4 linked regions of the Saccharomyces cerevisiae S288C genome follow. The gene in region 1 interacts genetically with each later gene. Each region holds a gene or a part of one and is shown in the gene's direction. Other genes may lie near its edges. The genes, in order: TSC10, CEM1, ELO2 and CSG2.

The links.
Region 2: mutations in TSC10 (region 1) and CEM1 together harm fitness more than expected from each alone (negative genetic interaction), as found in Saccharomyces cerevisiae (2 studies listed by BioGRID).
Region 3: mutations in TSC10 (region 1) and ELO2 together harm fitness more than expected from each alone (negative genetic interaction), as found in Saccharomyces cerevisiae (2 studies listed by BioGRID).
Region 4: mutations in TSC10 (region 1) and CSG2 together harm fitness less than expected from each alone (positive genetic interaction), as found in Saccharomyces cerevisiae (5 studies listed by BioGRID, with this or other methods).

The regions. Positions count from the first base shown.
Region 1 is NC_001134.8:736,925-740,044, forward strand, and holds TSC10 (3-dehydrosphinganine reductase), read left to right. Parts: upstream 1-1,657; coding exon 1,658-2,620; downstream 2,621-3,120. Other genes in the region: glycine hydroxymethyltransferase SHM1, read left to right, coding at 1-812; Rab family GTPase YPT10, read right to left, coding at 846-1,445; REI1 (Rei1p), read left to right, coding at 2,917-3,120; SLM6 (Slm6p), read right to left, coding at 3,012-3,120. UniProt on the Saccharomyces cerevisiae protein: Catalyzes the reduction of 3'-oxosphinganine (3-ketodihydrosphingosine/KDS) to sphinganine (dihydrosphingosine/DHS), the second step of de novo sphingolipid biosynthesis.
Region 2 is NC_001137.3:277,709-281,667, reverse strand, and holds CEM1 (fatty acid synthase CEM1), read left to right. Parts: upstream 1-2,041; coding exon 2,042-3,370; downstream 3,371-3,959. Other genes in the region: glycerol-1-phosphatase GPP2, read left to right, coding at 986-1,738; FCY22 (purine-cytosine permease), read right to left, coding at 3,504-3,959. UniProt on the Saccharomyces cerevisiae protein: Possibly involved in the synthesis of a specialized molecule, probably related to a fatty acid, which is essential for mitochondrial respiration. Is essential for oxygen uptake and the presence of cytochromes A and B.
Region 3 is NC_001135.5:188,858-192,369, forward strand, and holds ELO2 (fatty acid elongase ELO2), read left to right. Parts: upstream 1-1,734; coding exon 1,735-2,778; downstream 2,779-3,512. Other genes in the region: SNT1 (Snt1p), read left to right, coding at 1-1,312; exosome non-catalytic core subunit RRP43, read right to left, coding at 2,977-3,512. UniProt on the Saccharomyces cerevisiae protein: Component of a microsomal membrane-bound long-chain fatty acid elongation system, which produces the 20-26-carbon very long-chain fatty acids (VLCFA) from long-chain fatty acid precursors and is involved ceramide and inositol sphingolipid biosynthesis.
Region 4 is NC_001134.8:308,488-312,364, reverse strand, and holds CSG2 (mannosylinositol phosphorylceramide synthase regulatory subunit), read left to right. Parts: upstream 1-2,051; coding exon 2,052-3,284; downstream 3,285-3,877. Other genes in the region: chitin synthase CHS2, read right to left, coding at 1-467; Cu-binding protein SCO1, read left to right, coding at 913-1,800. UniProt on the Saccharomyces cerevisiae protein: Required for calcium regulation. May regulate calcium accumulation by a non-vacuole organelle. Also regulates the activity of CSH1 and SUR1 during mannosyl phosphorylinositol ceramide synthesis.

The DNA.
Region 1 (3,120 bases):
GATTCAAGGAAATTTCCCAAGGATGCGGCGCATATTTGATGAGTGATATGGCACACATATCCGGTTTGGTGGCAGCCAATGTTGTCCCATCTCCATTTGAACATTCCGATATAGTTACCACAACCACTCACAAGTCCTTGAGAGGCCCAAGAGGTGCTATGATTTTCTTCAGAAAGGGTATCAAGTCTGTCACCAAAAAGGGCAAGGAAATCCCATATGAGTTAGAAAAGAAAATCAACTTCTCAGTTTTCCCAGGACATCAAGGTGGTCCTCACAACCATACTATCGGTGCAATGGCAGTGGCATTAAAGCAAGCGATGTCTCCAGAATTCAAAGAATACCAACAAAAAATTGTCGACAACAGCAAATGGTTTGCTCAGGAACTAACCAAGATGGGTTATAAGTTGGTTTCCGGCGGTACCGATAACCACTTGATTGTTATTGACTTATCCGGTACTCAGGTAGACGGTGCTCGTGTCGAGACAATTTTAAGTGCCTTGAACATTGCTGCTAACAAGAACACCATCCCAGGTGATAAGAGTGCTCTTTTCCCCTCTGGTCTAAGAATCGGTACTCCAGCAATGACCACGAGAGGATTTGGCCGTGAAGAGTTTTCTCAAGTCGCAAAGTACATTGATTCTGCCGTTAAGCTCGCTGAAAATTTGAAAACTTTGGAACCAACAACGAAACTAGATGCAAGATCAAGACTCAATGAGTTCAAGAAGTTGTGTAATGAATCTAGTGAAGTCGCTGCTTTGTCTGGCGAGATTTCCAAGTGGGTCGGTCAATACCCTGTCCCAGGTGATATCTAAGTAATTATGATTTAAAATCAAATACTTTATGTATTAACATATACAGCCACTGCCGCTTTTTTTTTTATTTATTTCCAGTATATTTCCCTGTTCATTGTTCTTTGACAATGTCTTGAATTGACTTTCGGGAACCAAACTGATTATTATTTTATTCAATGTATCGAAATTGTACCCTGTCTTTGCACTTACGGCCACATACGGCAGACCCTGTAACTCCGCCGGTATAGTCACTTCCCCTGAATGCTCTTCGCAGACTAAATCGTACTTATTGCCCACGATAATTACCTGCGTTCCCTGAGCACGGTCCTGTAAATCTTGAAACCATGTCTTTGCACATTGCAGACTGGATACGTCTCCCAATTCGAATACAATCAAAGCAATATTCGCATCTCGATAATACATTGGCACCAGTGATTTATACCGTTCCTGACCCGCCGTGTCCCATATCTCCATATGGATACGTTTCTCCGTAGAGGAGTCGTTAGAAGGAACCTCGATTGTCTTGGTGATGAACGCCGCACCTATCGTAGCCGCATGTTTTGCTAGAAACTTACCTGATTTGAGCCTAGTCACTATACTGGTTTTCCCCACTGATGAATCTCCTAGCAGTACCACTTTGATGGTTGCTTCCATATCGTATTCCTCCGTATTTTGTGCTACTTGTATTTCCTGGAGTAATTTTACTATCATTGTTCCTTAACGTGAAACGTAAGGCTAAAAAACAATAAACGACAAAAAAAAAACAAAAAAATGAAAAATGCAGAGGAGTTTCTCTGCATTTACTGGAAGCGATTAAATAAGATTGCCTCAAGAAAAGAAGTTATCGGTATAATCTTTTGTAGGTAATGAAGTTTACGTTAGAAGACCAAGTTGTGTTGATCACTGGTGGTTCACAAGGTCTTGGAAAGGAATTCGCCAAAAAATATTATAATGAGGCTGAAAACACAAAGATTATTATCGTCAGTAGGTCAGAGGCTAGACTGCTGGACACATGCAACGAAATTAGGATTGAAGCTCACCTGAGAAGGGAAACCACTGACGAGGGCCAAGTGCAACATAAGTTGGCTGCGCCCTTGGACCTTGAGCAACGGTTATTTTACTACCCATGCGACTTGTCCTGCTACGAATCCGTGGAATGTTTGTTCAATGCCCTGAGAGACTTGGATTTACTCCCTACACAAACGTTATGCTGTGCAGGGGGGGCTGTTCCTAAGTTATTTCGTGGGCTAAGCGGACATGAGTTGAACTTGGGTATGGACATCAACTATAAAACAACTTTGAACGTGGCACATCAGATTGCCCTTGCAGAGCAAACCAAGGAACACCACCTCATCATCTTTTCTAGTGCCACCGCGCTTTACCCATTTGTGGGCTATTCCCAGTATGCGCCTGCAAAAGCTGCAATCAAATCACTGGTAGCAATCTTAAGACAAGAACTGACGAACTTCCGTATCAGTTGTGTTTATCCTGGTAATTTTGAAAGCGAAGGTTTCACTGTAGAGCAGCTAACGAAACCCGAAATTACAAAGTTGATCGAAGGCCCCTCAGACGCTATCCCATGCAAACAAGCATGTGATATCATTGCCAAGTCGCTGGCCAGAGGTGATGATGACGTTTTTACAGATTTTGTCGGATGGATGATAATGGGGATGGACCTTGGGCTCACCGCAAAGAAAAGCCGCTTTGTTCCGTTGCAATGGATTTTTGGTGTCCTATCAAACATTCTGGTCGTGCCATTCTACATGGTTGGCTGTTCCTGGTATATCAGGAAATGGTTTCGTGAAAATGACGGCAAGAAGGCCAACTGAGAGCACATCCACTCTCATTCCCGATATTCCCCGTGACTCTCTTTATTTCTTTCAAGACAAACCCTAGTGGTGTAGCTATTTGTACATGTATAAGTATATACGAAATATTAATTATAACATTATTACCACGGCGATATTTTCCTATTTTTATTCTCTTTTCTTACTATATTTTGAAAGTTTTTCTTATGGGTACCGATGCGATGAGGTGAAAAAAATTTTCCTCTTTCCACTTTTAGTACAGGTTATGAGATGCTTCTCATTAGAAGTCAAGAAGAGAGCATATCAGTAACAATACGATGAGTAGCAGTGGTGTTTATACGTGTAATTCATGTGTCCTGACCTTTGATTCAAGCGACGAGCAGCGGGCCCACATGAAGTCCGATTGGCATCGCTACAATTTGAAAAGACGTGTTGCACAATTGCCACCAATATCATTTGAGACATTTGACTCCAAAGTGTCTGCAGCTGCTGCCAGTACTAGTAAGTCTGCTGAAAAGGAG
Region 2 (3,959 bases), on another chromosome or scaffold:
AAAAAATTCTATTCAATATACAGATATCTTTGTAACTTCTGAAAGTAGCGCATCCTGAAAGGACACATTTGAAGAGTCACTATTCAACTTTCTTCTCCCATTCAGCATTATCACGCCCTTCCACCAACGCTGGTTGCATTGTGTTTTCTTACTTCGGCTAGAGACGCCGGGTAATAAAATATATATCCTCGAATGAACCGCTGGCCTCGGCCATTTTCATATGACTTCATATCATTAATATGGCCGTAGGTTAAGCAATGCTACGTGAAAGATACCAATTCCAATCGTCTGCTTTCTCTCAAGAGGAGACTTTGCGTTCTTTAAAGGAGCAGAGAAAGAGGGAAACGGTGAAAAACTTCAATATTGATAACATCCATCAGCGTCTAAATTCCTATGCCTCCTTCGAAAATGGTCAATGTTATACCCTCTCCCATTAGATATTACCGTAGCGTACGTATTTGGCCCTGTCCTTTGGGGTTTGGCCTTCTCAAGTATTTTGGCACCTCGCCCTGAACGAAAAGCTGGCACTTTGTCCCCAGCCAAACTCTTCTCTCTAATATCGTCTTTAACGACAAGGTAAAAAGATTTCTGCAGTGTTCCGTCTGCGTCATCATCTGTGCCCCACAATCCGCGGCGTTTCCGTGTAAGCCGTCAAGTGAGGACTTTTCGGATGCTGAAAGAAAGTACGCTCGGAAAAACTACATAGCTGCCCCCCTAAACGGGCCTCCCACGTGACGTAAAGTAGGAATAATAAGAAGCCAAGTCGTTTCTTTTTATTCTAAATAAGTTCGTTTCTTTTGATGTTGTCATTTTCAGAAATATATATATATGCGCTTAAATACACAAGCTAAAACAACATAGTTAGGATTGCCAAAGGTTTCTTTTCTACTCAATTTGGTCTAACTCTTTTCATATTAATAGCGCCAACCAGCTAGTGTTTACCAGATCAGTGGAAAAACATAAAACAATAAAAACAATATTCGGAATGGGATTGACTACTAAACCTCTATCTTTGAAAGTTAACGCCGCTTTGTTCGACGTCGACGGTACCATTATCATCTCTCAACCAGCCATTGCTGCATTCTGGAGGGATTTCGGTAAGGACAAACCTTATTTCGATGCTGAACACGTTATCCAAGTCTCGCATGGTTGGAGAACGTTTGATGCCATTGCTAAGTTCGCTCCAGACTTTGCCAATGAAGAGTATGTTAACAAATTAGAAGCTGAAATTCCGGTCAAGTACGGTGAAAAATCCATTGAAGTCCCAGGTGCAGTTAAGCTGTGCAACGCTTTGAACGCTCTACCAAAAGAGAAATGGGCTGTGGCAACTTCCGGTACCCGTGATATGGCACAAAAATGGTTCGAGCATCTGGGAATCAGGAGACCAAAGTACTTCATTACCGCTAATGATGTCAAACAGGGTAAGCCTCATCCAGAACCATATCTGAAGGGCAGGAATGGCTTAGGATATCCGATCAATGAGCAAGACCCTTCCAAATCTAAGGTAGTAGTATTTGAAGACGCTCCAGCAGGTATTGCCGCCGGAAAAGCCGCCGGTTGTAAGATCATTGGTATTGCCACTACTTTCGACTTGGACTTCCTAAAGGAAAAAGGCTGTGACATCATTGTCAAAAACCACGAATCCATCAGAGTTGGCGGCTACAATGCCGAAACAGACGAAGTTGAATTCATTTTTGACGACTACTTATATGCTAAGGACGATCTGTTGAAATGGTAATCCTCTAAAATCGAACATATTTGAGTAATAATTCTCAGATACAGTCCTATTCTATATTCGCCACAAAACAAGTAATGATGCTAAAAAACGACACATTTATAAAATCACATCTTATTGATTAAATAAATACGTAGATAGATTTTTTTTTTTAAAACATATAGTGTGCTATTATTTCTGACTCTGTCTCATCTCAGAAAAATAAATGATAAAAAAGGAAGTAAAATCCTTAAACGTTATCAGGTTATTAGCAACTTGAAAGTGACAGGAGCCACAACGGATTAAAATTTAATTTCTAGTAAAGAAATGTCAAGAAGAGTGGTTATCACAGGATTGGGCTGTGTAACGCCGTTGGGAAGATCATTAAGTGAGTCATGGGGGAATCTGCTCTCTTCCAAAAATGGACTCACACCAATCACATCTTTGCCCAACTATAATGAGGACTACAAACTCAGAGAAAAAAGTATCCCATCAACGATAACAGTGGGGAAGATTCCAGAGAATTTTCAAAACGAAAATTCAGCCATCAATAAACTGCTGTTCACTAGCCAGGATGAGAGAAGAACCTCAAGCTTTATCAAGCTAGCACTACGTACAACTTATGAAGCGCTTCACAATGCTGGTCTCTTGAACCCAAATGATATAACCATCAATACATCTCTGTGCAATCTGGATCACTTTGGTTGCCTGATAGGTTCTGGTATAGGATCCATTCAAGACATATACCAAACTTCTCTACAATTCCATAACGACAATAAAAGAATAAATCCATATTTCGTCCCTAAAATCCTTACAAATATGGCAGCTGGTAATGTTTCCATCAAGTTTAACCTTAGAGGATTATCCCATAGTGTTTCCACAGCATGCGCAACAGGTAATAACTCCATTGGCGATGCATTCAATTTTATTCGGTTAGGCATGCAAGACATCTGTGTCGCCGGTGCAAGTGAAACGAGTTTGCATCCGTTAAGTTTAGCAGGTTTCATCAGAGCAAAGTCGATTACTACAAACGGGATCTCTAGACCCTTTGATACACAACGTTCTGGATTCGTACTTGGTGAAGGATGCGGAATGATTGTCATGGAATCGCTAGAACATGCTCAAAAGAGAAATGCAAACATAATTTCTGAGCTCGTGGGCTATGGTTTAAGCAGTGATGCCTGCCATATTACCTCCCCTCCTGCTGATGGAAATGGTGCCAAAAGAGCAATAGAGATGGCTCTAAAAATGGCTAGATTAGAACCAACTGATGTTGACTACGTCAATGCACATGCTACATCAACTTTACTAGGCGATAAAGCAGAGTGTCTGGCAGTAGCCTCAGCACTCTTACCAGGAAGATCCAAAAGCAAGCCACTGTACATATCCAGTAACAAAGGTGCAATTGGCCATCTTTTAGGTGCAGCTGGCGCCGTAGAAAGTATATTTACAATTTGTTCCTTGAAGGATGATAAGATGCCGCATACCTTAAACCTGGACAATGTTCTGACTCTAGAAAATAACGAGGCCGATAAGCTACATTTCATAAGAGACAAACCTATTGTGGGAGCTAATCCGAAGTACGCATTATGCAACAGCTTCGGATTTGGAGGAGTTAACACATCTCTTCTCTTCAAGAAATGGGAAGGGAGTTAATATTATTAAACTTATATATATATCCCATTATAATCGTTTTTGAATTATATGCTATCTATTCGAATGTCGAGATTTATCCATTAAAACCAATCATTTCAATGATTAGCAAAAATATTAATCAATTAACATTTAGTCATCGACCGAAATATTTGAGTTCTAAAGGTCTTACAATGTTATAGATGATGAACGCCCAACTTCCGCCTAACTCGAACCCAATGTCACCGCCGTACTCTCCGATCAAACGACTGATCTCACCAACCCAATAAGTTTGGCACATACCCAACGCTACTCCAAAGGCACCAGCAATTAAGGCAGCAGTACCTGCGATACCGATAGGTAGATGCTCCCAATTATCCCAATCATCAATATTGTAAGCACTGAAGGAACGCCTATAAATAAAATGCTCTGAACATGCAATGGCAATATAAATAGCCAAATAATAACCAATGGAATCCATAAAATTCTCCATAAAGCCGTCAAAGTAATAGGTAGCAGGGATGGAAATACCTAAAGTGGCAGCATTACCTGCCATTGTCCAGACTACTCTTGGTATTTTAGCCAAAGGTGCCCACAAAGCTTGAGCGGATAA
Region 3 (3,512 bases), on another chromosome or scaffold:
AGGTGATCCATTAGGTACACCGGAAAAAGTTGAAAATATGATTGAACAGAGAGGCGAAGAGTTTGCAGGTGAATTGGAAAATGCTGAGAGGGTAAACGACTTAAAAAGGGCGCATGATGAAGTTGGAGAAGAGAGCAATAAGTCCAGTGTAATAGAAACCAACAATGGGGTACAAATAATGGATCCAAAAGGAGCTGTTCAGAATGGTTATTATCCAGAGGAGACCAAAGAACTTGACTTCAGTTTAGAGAATGCGTTACAGAGAAAGAAACACAAATCTGCACCAGAGCATAAAACAAGTTATTGGAGTGTTCGTGAATCTCAACTCTTTCCAGAATTGTTGAAGGAGTTTGGCTCTCAATGGTCTCTCATATCAGAAAAACTGGGTACCAAATCTACTACAATGGTAAGGAATTACTACCAAAGAAATGCAGCTCGCAATGGATGGAAATTACTGGTTGATGAAACCGACTTAAAGCGAGATGGGACTAGTTCAGAATCTGTACAACAATCTCAAATTTTGATACAACCAGAACGACCAAACATCAATGCCTATAGTAATATTCCTCCTCAACAAAGACCGGCTTTGGGTTATTTTGTTGGACAACCAACTCATGGGCATAATACATCTATTTCATCTATCGATGGCTCTATAAGACCATTTGGGCCTGATTTTCATCGTGATACCTTTTCTAAAATTAGTGCTCCTTTAACCACTTTACCACCACCAAGACTACCATCTATTCAGTTTCCTCGTTCAGAAATGGCAGAACCTACAGTGACAGATTTGCGTAACAGGCCCTTAGACCATATTGACACGTTGGCTGATGCAGCTTCGTCAGTAACAAATAATCAAAACTTCAGTAATGAAAGGAATGCAATTGACATTGGCCGTAAATCGACGACAATCAGCAATCTATTGAATAATTCGGATCGAAGCATGAAATCTTCTTTCCAAAGCGCTTCAAGACACGAAGCACAGCTCGAAGACACTCCCAGCATGAACAATATTGTAGTACAAGAAATAAAACCGAATATTACTACGCCAAGATCGAGTTCTATTTCTGCATTACTAAATCCTGTAAATGGGAATGGGCAATCAAACCCAGATGGAAGGCCGTTGCTGCCATTTCAGCATGCTATTTCTCAAGGCACTCCTACTTTCCCTTTACCGGCCCCTCGCACTAGTCCAATAAGTCGTGCGCCTCCAAAGTTCAATTTTTCGAATGATCCGTTGGCAGCTTTGGCTGCGGTTGCCTCCGCGCCAGATGCAATGAGCAGTTTTTTATCTAAAAAGGAAAATAATAATTGAACAAACGGCTGAGACGGGCAATACATATGCTCTACTTCTTTTCCATCCAATGGTTGGTGAAACTCTCGAGCATACATTACCTTACGTGTGTTAGTGTACTATATTATATATATATATATGTATATATATAAAGGGAGGAGTTTTTAATTATAATTGTAATTTCGTATTTTTTCTGCATTATACAGTTTTTTCCGATTTTAAACGACTTTATTTAAGTGTCGTGTAAATATGTCACATTTTATTTTTGTACGTATTCACATGTCCTGGCGTGCGGCCATTGCTGAAAATCGCAAAACCCACAGAGAAATAAACATCGCGAAAAAGTCAATGAAAAATTGGAAAATATTTTTCATTTCACTATTATCCACAAGCAATTTTGTACAAAGTGAAAAGGTTGAACTAATTATCTTCGTCTAGAAGCCATGAATTCACTCGTTACTCAATATGCTGCTCCGTTGTTCGAGCGTTATCCCCAACTTCATGACTATTTACCAACTTTGGAGCGACCATTTTTTAATATTTCGTTGTGGGAACATTTCGATGATGTCGTCACTCGTGTAACTAACGGTAGATTTGTTCCAAGCGAATTCCAATTCATTGCAGGTGAATTACCATTAAGCACTTTGCCCCCTGTGCTATACGCCATCACTGCCTATTACGTTATTATTTTTGGTGGCAGGTTTTTGTTAAGTAAGTCGAAACCATTTAAATTAAATGGCCTTTTCCAATTGCATAATTTGGTTTTAACTTCACTTTCATTGACGCTTTTATTGCTTATGGTTGAACAATTAGTGCCAATTATTGTTCAGCACGGGTTATACTTCGCTATCTGTAATATTGGTGCTTGGACTCAACCGCTCGTTACATTATATTACATGAATTACATTGTCAAGTTTATTGAATTTATAGACACCTTTTTCTTGGTGCTAAAACATAAAAAATTGACATTTTTGCATACTTATCACCATGGCGCTACTGCCTTATTATGTTACACCCAATTGATGGGCACCACATCTATTTCTTGGGTCCCTATTTCATTGAACCTTGGTGTTCACGTGGTTATGTATTGGTACTATTTCTTGGCTGCCAGAGGCATCAGGGTCTGGTGGAAGGAATGGGTTACCAGATTTCAAATTATCCAATTTGTTTTGGATATCGGTTTCATATATTTTGCTGTCTACCAAAAAGCAGTTCACTTGTATTTCCCAATTTTGCCACATTGTGGTGACTGTGTGGGTTCAACAACTGCCACCTTTGCAGGTTGTGCCATTATTTCTTCATATTTGGTACTATTTATTTCATTTTACATTAACGTTTATAAACGTAAAGGCACCAAAACCAGTAGAGTGGTAAAGCGTGCCCACGGCGGTGTTGCCGCAAAGGTTAATGAGTATGTTAACGTTGACTTGAAAAACGTTCCTACTCCATCTCCATCACCAAAACCTCAACACAGAAGAAAAAGGTAAGTGTAAAATCTTTGAAAGAATTTAAGTATTCAACTTTCGTATATTCGTTTTTTCTTAGTGGATCTATTGTTACTATTATCACTATTATTATATTGTAAAAGACCGGATGGTTTTGTTATATATTACATACACATGTTATCGTTGAAAAAAGTTTTCCGTTTCCTTTCGACAGTCATCAGATAATTTTATCCGAGTCTTTTATATGTTAAATCTTGTTGACAAATCGTCCGCTCTAACCCTAGATAACAACAATGATCTTTTTATCATTTCTGGCGTTATTTTAGCGCCTCCTCCCACTAATGTTAATTGCTTATAGTTACCTGAAGGAGCAGCGAGGATGGAGATCGTACTGTGTATACTTGTTTCTTCCGCTTCAGTATCTAGGTCTGCTATTAGCACAGTGTTCAATTTATCCATATCAATGTCCACTTCCTCTTCTTCAGAGTTATCAGAGTTTTGTAATTGGCATTCGGGGTCTAACTCCACTATCCCATAATTTGAAGCAAATGCAATATTCTTTGCGTTTATCATTAACGGTACTGACTTAGTTTGGTCGCAAATAATTTCATACGTTTCTCTTATGGTGGCACTTCTTCCTCTTGTTCTTATAGTCATTCTTAAATCGGACGCACGCTCATCTATAAATGCTCTAGGTAACTTTACGCTCTGTAAAGCGTACATCAAAGAATTCCAACACAAATCGAAGACTGGACCAGTGCGACTCAAGACTACAA
Region 4 (3,877 bases), 430 kb from region 1:
GTGTATTTCGAGCTTTGAGAATACAATCTGCCACTTCCAAACAGATTGTTACTGGGCTGTTGCTGGGGTGATAGATGGTAGGGGTCTACCGGTAGATCTGCATTATCGCGGGGGTAAAGGTTACTCCCCTCACTTAGATGTATGACAGCCTCGCCTGCTCTTTTGGGAGACTCTTGTAGATTAGCAGCATACCTGTTCGGAGCAACTGGAGAGTTATGGGCACTATCGCGGTAAAATTGAGTTCTATGGCGACGGTCTGGGGAGTATCTTAGTGCAGCTCTCGAAGGAGATGCCGGAAGGCCTTGGAAAACGTTAGATTGGTCATAGCTATCCTCCAAACTCTCCTCACTGGGATTAGCCCACCGAGAGTTGCTGTTAGCGTTTGCGTAAAATTTGGAGAGGTTTGAAGCACCACGTCTATTAGGAGAGCCATTCGAAGGTTCCACCATAAACGGGTTTCTCGTCATTTCTATATGTGGTTCTTTGGTTTTTATTTGGGTCTATATGTAACTTCCTCTGTTTTCTCTTCTGAGTCACGAAATCAACAGTAATATTATGGAAGATAGTTAAATAGACTGGGGCCATCCCAAGGGAGAGTCCTCGAATTCCCAATTGAAACTAAATTGAAGTTCTGTAAATTTCAATATCGATGCTATCATACTCAAATAGGAAATATATAAACAAATAGTATAGGGGTTTATACTAGGGTTTTAAACCCCAAAAAACTAACCCTACTATCTTCTTTTCAGACCCTAAATTGAAGGAAATAAACGGGAATAATAATCAATAGCGATCTCCCGAAGAGAAAAGTGAGAAAATAGTATAATTGTGTCTATTGTGTTTATAATCGGCATTAGAAACGTATGTTCGTATAAGGCAAGGGAAACAGAAAAAACAGCAAACGTAGAAAAGATGCTGAAGTTGTCAAGAAGTGCCAATCTAAGATTGGTCCAATTGCCAGCCGCAAGATTAAGTGGCAATGGCGCTAAATTGCTCACTCAAAGGGGATTCTTTACTGTAACGCGCTTATGGCAGTCAAATGGCAAGAAACCATTAAGCAGAGTACCTGTGGGCGGTACTCCCATTAAGGATAACGGCAAAGTGCGAGAAGGCTCGATCGAGTTTTCCACGGGAAAGGCCATTGCTCTATTCCTAGCAGTCGGTGGGGCACTTTCTTATTTCTTCAACAGGGAGAAACGCAGATTGGAAACACAGAAGGAGGCTGAAGCAAACAGAGGATACGGTAAACCTTCACTTGGGGGACCCTTCCATCTGGAGGATATGTATGGCAATGAGTTTACGGAGAAAAACCTTCTCGGTAAGTTTTCTATAATATACTTTGGGTTTAGTAACTGTCCTGACATCTGTCCTGATGAACTGGATAAGCTAGGTCTATGGCTTAATACACTCTCTTCAAAGTATGGTATTACTCTGCAGCCATTATTTATAACTTGTGATCCAGCAAGAGACTCCCCTGCTGTATTGAAAGAGTATTTGAGCGACTTTCATCCCTCCATCCTGGGTTTGACGGGGACGTTCGATGAGGTGAAGAACGCATGCAAGAAGTACAGAGTATACTTTTCTACGCCTCCAAACGTCAAACCGGGCCAAGATTATTTGGTAGACCATTCCATCTTCTTTTATCTCATGGACCCTGAAGGACAGTTTGTTGATGCTTTGGGTAGAAATTATGATGAAAAAACGGGCGTGGACAAGATCGTGGAACACGTTAAGAGTTATGTGCCTGCAGAGCAGCGCGCCAAGCAGAAGGAGGCATGGTACTCCTTCTTATTCAAATAAGATTGTAAATATATGCTACTTTCTTCCTTGTATATACATATATACTTATAACGCTATAACCCGTTCTTGTAATATCGGCTATCACCCGGCGAAGGTGTATCGCAAGAAAAAAAAAAGCTCTCTCACTCTAAAGGAGGCTATGTGAACGTGGGAAGATCAAGTGAAAGAAATGTTTGTAGGCCATTTTCTTCCAGAACAGATCCGCTCTTGAGCTGGTGAGTTAGCACGATAACAAACAAAGATACAGCGTCATGTCTACCACACTACTTTGGTTTTCAAGTGTAATAGGCTACGTGATTCAAACAAAATGTTTGTCTAACATACAATCTAAAAAGGAAATCTCCGTGGGGCCCAATGGTACAATTGCAACGCCTGAAACTAACGGCGACAACGGAAACTCAAGTTCATTAACCTTCTATCTGACCTTTATGTATTTTGCTTCGTGGCTGCTCTTGGTGCCTGCATCTCGACTTTGGGAGAAGATGAGACCGATGTTTGTCTCTGACTCAGACTCGAACAGGAATTCTCAGTTTGACAACAACAACAGCGGGTCTGTGACAAACGAAGATGTCGATACGTTCTCGCACGTGTTGGATGATCCTCAACCACGGATTCCAGCCCAACAGCAGAAGCAAAAAATCATATCCGTGGCTACCTTCAAATATGTGGCTAAGCTAACAGTGCTGGCTCTCATAATGATTGTCGCTGATTTGACTTATAACATGGCTTTGTCATTGTCACCGGCATTTGATGTTGCTTTGATGCAAAATACTGCCATTTTCGAAATTGTCACTTTACTATATGGTGTTTGTGGAATCTCCAGGAAGAACTACGTTTTCCGTAATTTCCTCATCATGATGAACGCGGTCATTGGAATTTTGATCATCTCATACACGAAGGCTACCTGTGACATGCTTGCCGGAAAGCTGTCCGTCAACCCTAACACGGGTGAACTTTCTGACCCATTCTTGTTTGATAGGTTGAAAGGTGCTCTGATTTGCGGCCTTGGTGCTTTGATTATGGGTCCTTTTGCCGTGTTATGGAACCGTTGGTTTTGCAGTAACATTTCCAAGAACGAAAATTCTGCTGTAGTCTTGGTTAAGCAGAGCACCCACATGGCCCTAATCGGTATTATTGGCATGGTAATACTTTTGCCATTTATTCCTAAATTTCCCTCCCGTGAGTCTGTGGAATCCATTTCGTTGTTCTATAATGACAAGAGCTTTTGGTTCTCTCTACTAGGCTCGATTATCTTTGGTTCCTTGCCGAGCTTGATTTCGATATTAGAGTTGAATCGCAAGGCCCCTGCTGAGTATTTGACGACGTGCAACCTGGGAGCTATTATCTTTATGGGGTTAGCTGAGTGGGTTTGCGAACCTACGCAAACCACAATTGTGAGATGGGAAGTCATAGGATACATAATGCTAACGGTAAGTTTGTTGGTCCTATCAGTAACACTCGGGGAAGGTAAATACCACCATTAGTACGGACAACATACTTTATATGACTGATGATGATGTAACAAGCATATGCAATTATTTGGTTTCCCTAAATAAAAAATCCCAATCAATATCTTGATTATTTTCAAGACAATTACTAGGATGTTCTTCTATTTTTTTATTTTTATTTGTATATTGTATATTCTAAAAAGAAGAAGCCATTTGGTGGGCTTTATTATAAATATTAAGAGGCATACCTCCGCCTATCCGCCTATCCTCGTCATGAACAATCAATTAAAAGCGCTTATAAAGCGATATACAAGTACAGTACGCGCGATTTCTACAATACAAAAAATATACATCAAGAAAAAAAATGTTTCCAAAAATTATCTAAATGCATCGAAGGCATTAGGAGAAGTAGCTGTGAATACAACACCAAGATTCATAAAATGAACACACGGTTCCTTCCGCTTGGAAAATAATGCGACAAAAATACCGTATTGATCATCAAAGTAGTTTTAATAGATACCTAAAAAAACCATCTTGAAAAATCTCAAATTACGTTCTTGATCTTGTGTCATTGTTCAGTTACTGATCGCCCGCAAACCTAACCGATGCTTAAGAAAGGACACCCTTGC